Bombyx mori: one gene and its partners. The protein of the gene in region 3 purifies or fractionates together with the protein of the main gene of each other region. This does not show direct contact. Links are inferred from orthologs where the notes say so. Each region holds a gene or a part of one and is shown on either strand. Other genes may lie near its edges. The genes, in order: integrin-linked protein kinase, rho guanine nucleotide exchange factor 7 and paxillin.

The links.
Region 1: the proteins of paxillin (region 3) and integrin-linked protein kinase purify together in Homo sapiens (affinity purification with mass spectrometry; 4 studies listed by BioGRID and IntAct, with this or other methods). This does not show direct contact. The link is inferred for Bombyx mori from reciprocal best matches to the Homo sapiens genes PXN and ILK.
Region 2: the proteins of paxillin (region 3) and rho guanine nucleotide exchange factor 7 purify together in Homo sapiens (affinity purification with mass spectrometry; 3 studies listed by BioGRID and IntAct, with this or other methods). This does not show direct contact. The link is inferred for Bombyx mori from reciprocal best matches to the Homo sapiens genes PXN and ARHGEF7.

The regions. Positions count from the first base shown.
Region 1 is NC_085117.1:15,201,964-15,206,168, reverse strand, and holds the start of integrin-linked protein kinase, read left to right. Parts: upstream 1-1,270; 5' UTR 1,271-1,325; coding exon 1,326-1,414; intron 1,415-2,433; coding exon 2,434-2,599; intron 2,600-3,129; coding exon 3,130-3,314; intron 3,315-4,205. UniProt on the Homo sapiens protein: Scaffold protein which mediates protein-protein interactions during a range of cellular events including focal adhesion assembly, cell adhesion and cell migration.
Region 2 is NC_085110.1:9,314,627-9,318,284, reverse strand, and holds part of rho guanine nucleotide exchange factor 7, read left to right. Parts: intron 1-34; coding exon 35-256; intron 257-438; coding exon 439-651; intron 652-3,607; coding exon 3,608-3,658. UniProt on the Homo sapiens protein: Acts as a RAC1 guanine nucleotide exchange factor (GEF) and can induce membrane ruffling. Functions in cell migration, attachment and cell spreading. Promotes targeting of RAC1 to focal adhesions. May function as a positive regulator of apoptosis.
Region 3 is NC_085116.1:14,677,689-14,681,346, forward strand, and holds part of paxillin, read left to right. Parts: intron 1-3,308; coding exon 3,309-3,528; intron 3,529-3,658. UniProt on the Homo sapiens protein: Cytoskeletal protein involved in actin-membrane attachment at sites of cell adhesion to the extracellular matrix (focal adhesion). Recruits other proteins such as TRIM15 to focal adhesion.

The DNA of each region.
Region 1 (4,205 bases), on a different chromosome or scaffold from region 3:
AAAAAGAATGGAATGCATTTGAAGAGACATACACTCAGCATTGGGAAGACACTTGAAGATGATGATGTGTTTCAAAGTGGAATGTTAGACTGAATATTGATTGTATTCTAAAAAAATCTTGAAACAGTCAAAGCTTGAAGAACATTTAAATTAGTGTTATTTTTACAAAGATGCAGTAGACGTCATACAAGTAGTAGGTGTATATTCTGTGGACTGGGAACGAATGAAGTGAAGTGGACTTTTTGGCGGGAACGCGAGGAGTGAAGTTGTGTGATTTGTTTTATTTTGTCTATTTAATATTTCTTCAGGTTTTAATTTGTAATTACCAGTGGTCGGAGTAGGTAGATTGATTTTTTATACTTTCGTCAAGATATTATAATATCGACATGCCATTTTATCCATAATGATTATTTTTTTAAATTGAAAAAAAATGTTTAATACTCATCGGATAAAATTTCTATATTTATGAGATAACAAAAACCCTGTCTAAGTTTTGTCTCATACTGACAAGCGTCATTTCTAATTCAACAGAAAGGGACAAAATACGGTGTAACTATTCCAAGGCGTTTTTGCATAAAATAAAATACTAATTTCTTTCACCATTAGCTAGCACTGGTAGCGTAGATTAATATTATTAATACATTTTTCACCTTAAACACAGATTCACGCTAATTTCAAAATTCCGGAACAAATATCACAATAAATATGAAGTTCCGGTATTTTGGAGGCATATCCATATTATCCTCTACGTTTGAAGTCAACGACCTTAAATCGATCTACCTAGTCCGACCTCTAGTAATAACGGTGATTTATTAACTGTTTAATATCTGTGAAAGTGCACAAACGTGGGAAAATAAAACAAAGCTACTGGACGTGATTTCTCGGGATCCTCCAAAAAGTCCAATGAAAAAATCTTAGTAAATGACCACAATTTTACTGAGATTATATTTCATCCCATATCATCACATCTCATATCATTTAATTTCATCACAGTTGATTAATGTCTCAAATTAATCGTCGTCATTTCATTTCACTCCATATTATAATTTTTCATAAAAATAAGAATATAAATTAAAATAAGACTTGACTTAAAAGTTTCAGTTACCAGGTCATAAAAACTCTTTAAAAAAAAATAAAAAAAAATGTAATCACAGAATTCACAGATAACATATTTACAATTTATAATATTATGTTAAATTAAAAATATTGGAACAGTACATAATTTTTCTTTAATTTCAACGTTTAAATTACATTCTTTACCTAAATTAACCGTTTAGTTAATAGTTTAAAAAAAATCGTGTCCGTTGTTTAAAGCGATTTAAGAAATGGAAGATATATTTCAATGGTGTAGAGAAGGAAATGCTTTGCAAGTAAGAGTTTGGCTCGATGATACCGAACATGATATGAATCAAGGGTGAGTTTAAAGTGTTTTAGGTTTTTTTAGTCCTTAAAGTTTTTGCTACGACCAGATGGTCAAGATATGTTGTCACGCCCACAGCGGAGTGTACAAACACGTCAGCTCCCACAAAAATATCATAAGTATGTAACAGCTATGAGGTCATTTATATACTGTTCGACAAATTAGCATCTAAATTATCAAGAAAAACTACAATTGCAGGAATTTGAAAAGTAATTTCAAATAAACTACAAAACATTATGTGCAAAAAACTTCCTAATTAAATGAATTGTACAAATGAGAGATCTTCAAATGAAAAAACGATTTTACGATTATGCAGTCTTCTACCTGAATGTAGATCTAATCAAAGATCAATTTAAAATTGCTCCTCATTATGTGCACATATAGTATATTAACATGGATTTTCTATTCTAATTAAAGTTTTATATTTCCTCTTATTTCTGCTGCATGAGTCACAACAGTCCTATACCTTTAGTTAACACAACAATTTTCCTGTTCCTATGTTATTGCTGCTTAGTTTTTTATTGTATAGGTGGGTGAATGTGCAAGTGACCCAATTAGTTTTGTTTAGCCTTCAAATTGTAATGTGTAACTGCTCTATAGCATAAACTTGTTTTTTTAATATTCCAAATATTAGTGTTATTTACAAAACTTAATTGATTTTATTAGTATTATTACCAATACAGTATAAAATAAAAATAATATTTTTTCAAAAAAACAAATTGAAAATTTAAATGGAAAACATTTTGCATACTTATGTGTGTGTTAGAACTCATTCTTGCAATAGGTCTTTGATATTTTACAAATAAAAATAGGCTGTATTATTCACTAAAAACACTTCATCACTTTATTATTATTATTTATGACTTAATGCATTCAACATAACTCAAGAAAAATGTTTCATAATATCCAAGTATATTTAATTTTGAAACTATTTCCAAAAGTGAAATCATCCTATTGGCTATTTATTATTCATATATCTATGATTAATAATTATAATGAGAAAATAATTCTAGCGATGATCATGGCTTCAGTCCACTTCATTGGGCTTGCAAAGAAGGGCACCTTAAGATTGTAGAAATGCTGATTAAGCGTGGAGCAAGAATTAACGTGACTAATATGGGAGATGATACACCTCTGCATCTGTCAGCTGCCCATGGTCACAGACCTGTTGTGCAATTGGTAATTTCTCATGAATATTATTTATGCATGTTTAATCTGATTGATCAAGGAGCCTTTTTTTATTTTTATTGCTTAGATGGGTGGACGAGCTCACAGCACACCTGGTGTTAAGTGGTTACTGGAGCCCATAGACATCTACAATGTAAATGCGCCACCCACCTTGAGATATAAGTTCTAAGGTCTCGGTATAGTTACAACGGCTATCCCACCCTACAAACCGAAACGCATTCGTGCTCTTCGTCTCTTTGGGTTTACTCTATCCGCTATCAATATTATGTTTTGTATTTTATTTCTTTTCGTGTTATTTTCTAAATTTAAGGAATATTGCATGGCTCATTAGGTGATGAAACTGAACTGCTTGGCTCTATCAAATCTCATAATGGAGGTGACATCTATAACAAATACATTTCAATTAAATTGTTTTTGTAAAAAATATTATTATTTGTACTGTTTCTATAACTTAAAAATAATCCGAAACAAAGTATGATTGGCGCATGCAATTCATGATATTCATTTAAATTTATTTTCAGCTTTTACAAAACAGAGTAGATGTGAATTTCACAAATGAGCATGGGAACTCGCCACTTCATTATGCTTGCTTCTGGGGCTACAATGCTATAGCTGAAGATCTAGTCCTTGCTGGTGCTCTTGTTTCAATAGCGAACAAGTATGGTGATACACCTCTAGACAAAACGAGAGGTCAACTTGTACAAAGGTAAAGAGTTTTTTAAGGATTCAATTTTATGTTTTGTTTCATATAATTTTCTTTATTAGACCAAGTTTTCTTTAAAACTATCTAGCCTCCTGAGTTTCTCTCGGGATTTTCTCAGCGGAACTGACTCTGAGTTGTTAGACTCTCATTAGAGGCCCTCAGGCAGTTGTTAGCAAACCATTCCCTTTCAGATGAAGCCAAGAGATTACATTAAAGTCGTTGTGGCTTAAAGGATAAGAGGTCCGGTGCATATGTAGCGATGCATCGATGTTCGAATCTCGCCAGCGGGTACGAATTTTTTTAATGAAATACGTACTTTAAAATGTTCACGATTGACTTGGTGAAGGAACAACATCGTGCAATATAAATCAAACCTGCAAAATTATAATTTGCGTAATTACTGGTGGTAGGACGTCTTGTGAGTCCGCACGGGTAGGTACCATCACTCTGCCTATTTCTGCCGTGAAGCGATAATGCGTTTCGGTTTGAAGGGCGGGGCAGCCGTTGTACTGTTAAAAGTGAAGCCTTACAACTCATGTCTCAAGGTCATGTCCTGTCATTGTTAAATGAAAAAGGGCCCGGACAAGGACAAGCGCTTCATTAAAAAAAATGTCAATAAAAACCTTTTAATACCACAGGTACTATATTGTAATCTATACTAATATATAAATTTATAGTGGTTTTTACGGATGTTCCGTTATAACTACTGAACCATGCATCTGATTGACTTGGTATCCATGTAGAAAATACATGTACTTAATGAATAGGCTAATATTTATATGAGTGTTGCACTCCCTACACCACGGCGTTAATGATGAGAATGTTTGTGGGGGTGAGAAATAATAATGTTAATTTTAAATGCCCAATGAAGCGGTCGGGTACAGCTAGTGTACT
Region 2 (3,658 bases), on a different chromosome or scaffold from region 3:
AGCTGGATTATTCTATTTTTTTCCTATGATTCAGAGTGCTTGTGCGGCATTGCGACGTCAAAAGGAGTTAGAATTACAAGTTATAACCGGAGAAGTTCGTGGCTGGCCCGGGGGTGAACTAGCCTCATTGGGTGACGTGTTACATATGGGCAGCGTGGCAGTGGGCCCGTCCCATCAGGACCGCTACCTTGTACTCTTCCCATCAGCGCTGTTATTACTTTCAGTTAGCAAAAGAGTATCTGCATTTGTGTATGAGGTAATATTTAGTTAATAGCTTTAACTACAGAGTTCAAAGTCGTAAATCATTTTAATTATGACAACCGGATGGTCTAATTTAAAAGATTTGAAAGAGAAGAGTGTTTTCTGATGCCTGTTATGTTTTCTGCTGCTTACAAATAAAGAAATTATTAAATTGACGTGAAATGTAAACTTTTTTAGGGATGTCTTCCACTGACAGGCATCACAGTGTGTAAATTAGATGATACTGAAACAAGAAAAAATGCATTTGAAATTAGTGGTCCCATGATAGACACTATAGTGGCAGTGTGCCAAACAAAAGCTGAGGCTGACAATTGGGTCAGTTTGTTACAAAAGCATTCTAACACGAACAGTCCAACACACGAGCCTGGACAACCGCAGTCATTACCTCATGTAAGTTACAATTCCACATTTTCCATAATACTATATTAGAGTAATTTTTTTAAACACATGCAATGGCACCACTTCCATTTTCTTTACTATGTGTGCCGAAACCATGTTTCCGAGACGTACATAAGTACAGTCAGACTCAAAATTTAAATATTTTCGACAAAGAAATTTACTATACCCGAGAATCGAAAGCAGACCCCGTGATACAGCTGTCAGGGTTGCTGCACCGTCGACGCGTTAATTTCACTATTGATGTTGATTTTGTATTTTTAATTTAATCGTAAGATAATAGACATTAAAAAACAATTATAGTACATTACCTTTCCTCTTGAAAAAGATATATACTTATTTTGTGATATTGTTACTAGCTGACCCGCTCTCCTTCTGAAGGAGCGTTGTCTAGTATCAACTCTAGCCGCCGAAGTCTTTATCACGTGACGCTACCACCTCCCAGCTACCCTTCTGCATCTCCATATTATTCATTAACGAAATATTTTGCGAGACTTGTTAAGAAAAAAGTTATAACAAAACAAATGTTGCGTAAACTATTGCACGAAAGAACATGGGCGAAAGCGTTCGAATTGTCAGGCTTGCCTATTAGGAGGAGACACAAAAATCAAATTAGGCTAAAAATTGAAAACGACGGCACCATCGGAACTGAAACAGAATATTCGGATAGCGACGATAGCGACAGAGAAGGCAACACTAGCTCGAATTGTACGGATGCCGAAGCAGCAGGCTGTTTGAAGGTACTGAGGCAGGATGCTATGGACAGTCCCAGAACAATCTCCTCTTCGTACAGTAGTTGGGGTAGTAATATGGGCTACGTGCGGTATTTCGATAACAATTCAGATATGCATTTAGAAGAATCACAAAATCTATCGAATTTGACATTAAAGGGAGATTGCACCAAAGATTTGTTTCAAGCGATGTATGGTTTTAATGAAATAAACAGTGAAAGTGATCGAAACCTGGATTATGATATAGTTAATGCACAAAATGTATTTGGAGGGTTTCCTGATTTACAAGAATATGAACCACATTCCGAAAGAATTGAAAATTCAAGCTTCGAAGCTCGACCTTACATGGCTTGTGAAGATTTAGTGAATATGGATCAAAATACACAAATAGAGACGCTAGGAAACGATGACAAAGATTTTTTACCAACAAGGCGAAGCTATCCCAACTGCAGCGTAAAGGTCGACACGTTGCCAAAACAATGGAAATCGACAGAAGAGAACTACACTACTAGAGACAGCGGTGGATCCTTAACATCCAACTTATTACAAGTTTTAGATCCGCCCTCACCAAAGCGATGCAGCCATGACATTGATTCCCTCATAATAGATCCTCCTCCAATGTTTCGAAATGAAGATGATATGAAAGTTATTAACGTAAATCTGAACACAAATGTTCCATTTCGGAAACATTCGCTAAATTCTGATAAAAAAATCCGACGTTCTATGTCAAGATCTATGGTGGAGACAGAAAGTAACAGTAATAAAGATGACGGAAATCGGGTACAGAGAATGAGTTCACAATCAGATAATGATAAAATCCACAAGAAGTGTGAGTGCTGTAATAGATCCTTGTGTCCTAGTCCAAGATCCTCAGATTCAGGTGTTGTGGGTAGTTGCACCCTAACATCACCAGACATGCACGATTATGCCAGCTCAGGCAATACAGGAAATGATTCCGATCATAACGAAAAGATACCTGATCGGAATAACATGAGAACACCAGAAGAGGCTCGTGACACAAGAGGTCTCCGAAGGAAACTGACACTGTCAGATATAGAGGCCGCTACTTTTGAAGATCAATGTCGGTGTACATCTCCGTTCGGTTCCACGGCTAGAACCTCTTGCGTTACGAGTGTGACTTCGGAGAACAGCTTAGACGTAACTGATACATCGAATACCCATCTAAAGTCAACGTTTGCCGCCACACCTCCCGTACCGACTTCACAAATCAAAAGAACGTCTATAAGGAGGAACATTGAACGTTATGTACCAGAGATTAAACTGAAACCGGAGCCGCCGCCGAGAGTATACCGAAAGCCTAGCACTCATTTGGAGGTCCCTAAGAATGTTCGGCAACACTTACCTTGCCAATGGGGTACCTTGAATATTACCGAGCGTTCTAAGCCTAGTCTTCACTATCACATGCGTATATACAAAGATACTTCGGAAAACGTTAACGATAGAAAATCGCGTGTCAACACACCGCGGAATCGCGACATATTTTGCAACGATAAGAAACAAGATAGCAATGCCGATTTCGAACAAGTGCGAAAAACAAGGTCTCGCAGCGAAGATCTGTCGAAATTGCAGAAGGGCTTAGCTGAAGGGCAGAGCGGTTTCGTGGTGTATCGTTCAGATTTGTACGCTCACTGGTGGATGAAGGCAAAATTACCGATAACCGTGGTCACCGACTCAGGCAAGGATTATTCTTTTGTAAAGAGATACTGTTTGTGTATCACTGGTTTGAAGATAATATTGCCTTGAAGTTTGCAACCATTAGATTAATGCTGTTATTAGAGTTACCCCATCGATGGAGTGCTTTACTTGATCATCCTTGCCTGTGTTTATTCATATTACTAACTAAAAAGAGATCACTGCAAGTAGATATCATATGTTTAATTGTACTAACAACAAAATCCGATACGTGATGCATGGAAAGGCTTGCATACCTTGTACTTCCCATGAATTGGAGATAAAAACCAAAGAGATATAAATCAAATTTGATTTTTTCACTTATTTTAAATGTCTTAAATCTAAAAAAAATTTTGATGTTAATACATTGTTATTCAAATGCTGTTCAAATTTCAATTCTGTGTTTGTTTACGAGATAAAAATACAGAAACGGACAAAAACGATACTGGATGTTTAATGTCTGAATATTCTGCCGCTCAATACAATATACTCGACTAAGAATGTAATGACAGTAATTTTCTTTACAGATGGCCACGAGCGAGAATAATAACTCTGATTTATCTGGTGGTTTAACGAGC
Region 3 (3,658 bases):
CCTGAGTCACGTTCCTCATGTCTAAGGGTCGTGACCATCTCCAGTTATTCTTCTCTGGATGATGTTTGGACATCTTCCTCTGTTCTCAGCGGTGTGTATGGCATCGTAGACTGTGGTATCCAGAGTGGTGCGGATTTGGTCGGACCAACGCATTGGATTGCGGTTACGAGATTTTTTCCCTGCAATCTTGCCATCCATTCATCCTTCTTTCTTACCATCCATCCTTACCATCAATTTTTCAAGATTGTCACCGCTCTTTCTGGCAATGTCACCGAAGAACTTCAACTCTATCTACTAAATTCGAATCAACGACGATATCTATCCTAAAACTAAGATATCGTCTTTTCGATTGTCTTCTCAAATTGATTTTGTCGAAACATCTATACTAATATTATAAAGCTGAAGAGTTTGTTTGTTTGAACGCGCTAATCTCAGGAACTACTTACTGGTCCGATTTGAAAAATTATTTCAGTGTCAAATAGCTCATTTATTGAGGAAGGCTATAGGCTACATAACATCACGCTAAAACCAATAGGACTAATAGGACCAAGCGGAGCACCAATAAAGTATGTTTCAAAATCGGGGTATTTTTCCCTTTTGAGAGCTTACGCTATATGTGGATATACGCCAAAGTAACTATTCCACGCAGACGAAATCGCGGGAAAAAGCTATCATTAATATGTATGTTCATAAAAGCTTGTTAAAACGTTGCGAAGGTAAATGATCATTGGCCAAGAACAAAGAGCGACTCGTGAACTACATTTCCGTTCGCTAATTAGTATTTACGGGTTATGTTCAACAGTGCCACCTGTTCTAATACATTTGTCATAATCTTTATTTTATTATTTAATTTAATTGTACTCATCAGAAGCTGTAAGGAAAATAGAAGCGGACGGGGTATGGGTTTTAGTAACATAACATTGTGGGATAGCTCAAAGTAAAATAACACGGTTTTTGGAAAAGTAACAAAATATATATATATTTTTTGCACACGTCTTTGTTATTCACCTTATAATGCCAGATCGCCATCTCTCTTTACATCTCTCTTCCGTCCGTTTCTTACCCATGCGTTCATCCTTTTCACTCTAAACGTTCCGTATCCCGCATCATCGTTATCACCAAAGCCAGATTCTCATTCAACTATAGACGGATTATTCCTCTAAAATGGATTAATTATTCCAACTAGGCAGCGGCCTGGCTGTGTCTCAAACATTGTTGACGGCCATGATCAACAGTAGATCCTCTCCATCAAGTGGCCATATGCTCACGTCACGATGATATCAATCTTTCTCTTATCCTCGTATTACGAATTGATATATTGTATACGACTGCAACACGGAATATCCGAAGGGTGAATGTAAAATTCTGAATCAATATAAATCATCACATGTTGACATCCTATTTAGTGATATGTTATCGATGACTAGTGAATACGAACATACTGAAAGGTACCACAATCTAATTTAGTTAGATTCTAACACAATCGTGCTTCCTATAGAATAAAAATAAAATAAAAATCTCAATCTCATGGTTAAAGGACGCATCGCCAAATAATAGCAGAAAGCAAAATGTTCAGTAAAAATAAAATTATAAATCTTTTTAACTAAGGAATTAAATATATTAGTATCAATTTTTTCCTTTTCACGCATCGTCATCCGATACTAAGCTATGTTCAAAATCCTCCCCCGGATCCACTCTCGGTGCTTTTAGTCCCCTCAAGCAGCGGTCACTGTCTTCGTCGAACTCGTCTTTTTTTTCCTACCTAAGCTTTTCCTACCTAAGCCTTGAGCGGCTATGTCAGCGTAACTCTAATGTGTATGTAGGTGAGCTCTCAGGGTTCAAACCAGGAGGTGTTGCTAAAACTGGCCCTAGCAAGAGCAGTTCTTCGCAGTATCTACCACCGGATCGGAAACACAACCCACTGAGAAGATCCAACGAGACACTCAGTGAGTGGGCTGTGTCATGGGTTAGTTTACTCGCCGAACCCTTCGTCGCCAGCGACGGGTTCGACGAGAACGGTGACCGTGCTTGTGGTACCTAAAAGCACCGTTAGTGGATCGGGTGGATCCGAAATTATGTGCTTAGGGCGACGTCGGCTGTTTATCATTCGGTCCGCAGGATCGGGTATGTCGAACTCGTCGACGAGCGAACACAGCCCACTGAGTTTCTCGCCGGATCTTCTCAGTGGGTCGCGTTTCCGATCCGGTGGTAGATTCTGCGAAGCACTGCTCTTGCTAGAGAGCTAGTGTTGGCAAATTCTCTCAAGTTGAGCTCGTGAGCTCACCTACTTTCCCGGCGTAGCTGGAATGGTCAGCCCCTTAGGCTATCAGCGATCAAGTATTTAGCTCGTTAAGGTTCATAAAATCAATAACCATCCGTACATACAGGGTATATGACACAGATAACGTGGGGGGGTTATCTGTGGGATATGATCACAAGTTTCTAAGATAACATTTTGTACGTTCGCAAAGTTTTTAAATAGTTTATAGTACATTTAAAAAATACGTTCGAAGTGAATACGCAAAATAATCTCGTTTGCGCATCCATTAAATTAACAGTAATTAATTTGTGAGTACCGGGTCCGTTCTCGCGTAGGTTGTAATAGTAAATAAGTCTATTGAATAAAACTCCCGAAATATATATAGGTGTATATATTATGTATATATGTGATAATTTCGAACAGGAAATAGTTGTTCCCGCGGTTTCGCCCACGTTGAATTGAGAATGAAGATTTTTTTATCATTGTTTTTTTATTGATACGACTTCGTTTTGGCAAATTATTTGTTGTTTACTACAGTTACTGTATAGAGAAACTAATCGTAAGATAAAGTATGATTGAAATGGAGACAGTGGCTTTTGCGTTGTTCTCAAACAAAGAGACAGAGAAAGAAACTATAATTTCAGGCTAAGATCATTTACACCATTTTCCTAAGAAACTGTAACAAAGCTCAAATATTCACATATTAGTTTACAAAATAGTCATGTTAGATTAGGATAGGTTAAATTAGACATGTTAGACGGTAGGCAGCGGCTTGACTCTGCCGCTGGTATTGCCGAAGTCCATGGGCGACGGTAACCATTCACCATCAGGTGGGTCGCATGTTCCTCTGACTAAAGGGGCAATAAAAAAAAGGTGCTAAATCAAAATCTTAAATTAAATTATTTAATTTCGATCATCTGATTATTTAAAAGTTAGAAATCATCGAGCAACAAGTAAAAGTCGATCGCGCTTTTGAAATGTAACAAGAAACCGACCACATGTCTAAAATAAAAAATAATTTCAATTTCCTCTCAATAATTGTCGCCAGCCGCCAATCCACATCTCCAATACCACCGCCATCGACGGGAGGAACTCTCCCCAGACCGGGCACCAAACAGGTGACCGTCACCGTGCAGGAGACGGTCGTAGAACCCGCTCAGGCTCAGCAACAGATTCCAGTGGCGGCCCCTGTAGTCCGGCACCAGCACCACGCGTCCAGCGCCACCAAGGAACTTGATGACTTGATGGCGTCGCTCTCCGACTTCAAGGTGAGAGACATCTGTGTGTGTATTCATCCGAAAATATATTTAATCGATCTCATTTTGGAGGCGTATCGTCTAATCAATATACACCTGTCTTCGTCGTCACTGAAGGTCTTCGAAGATTCTGTTTAAATAT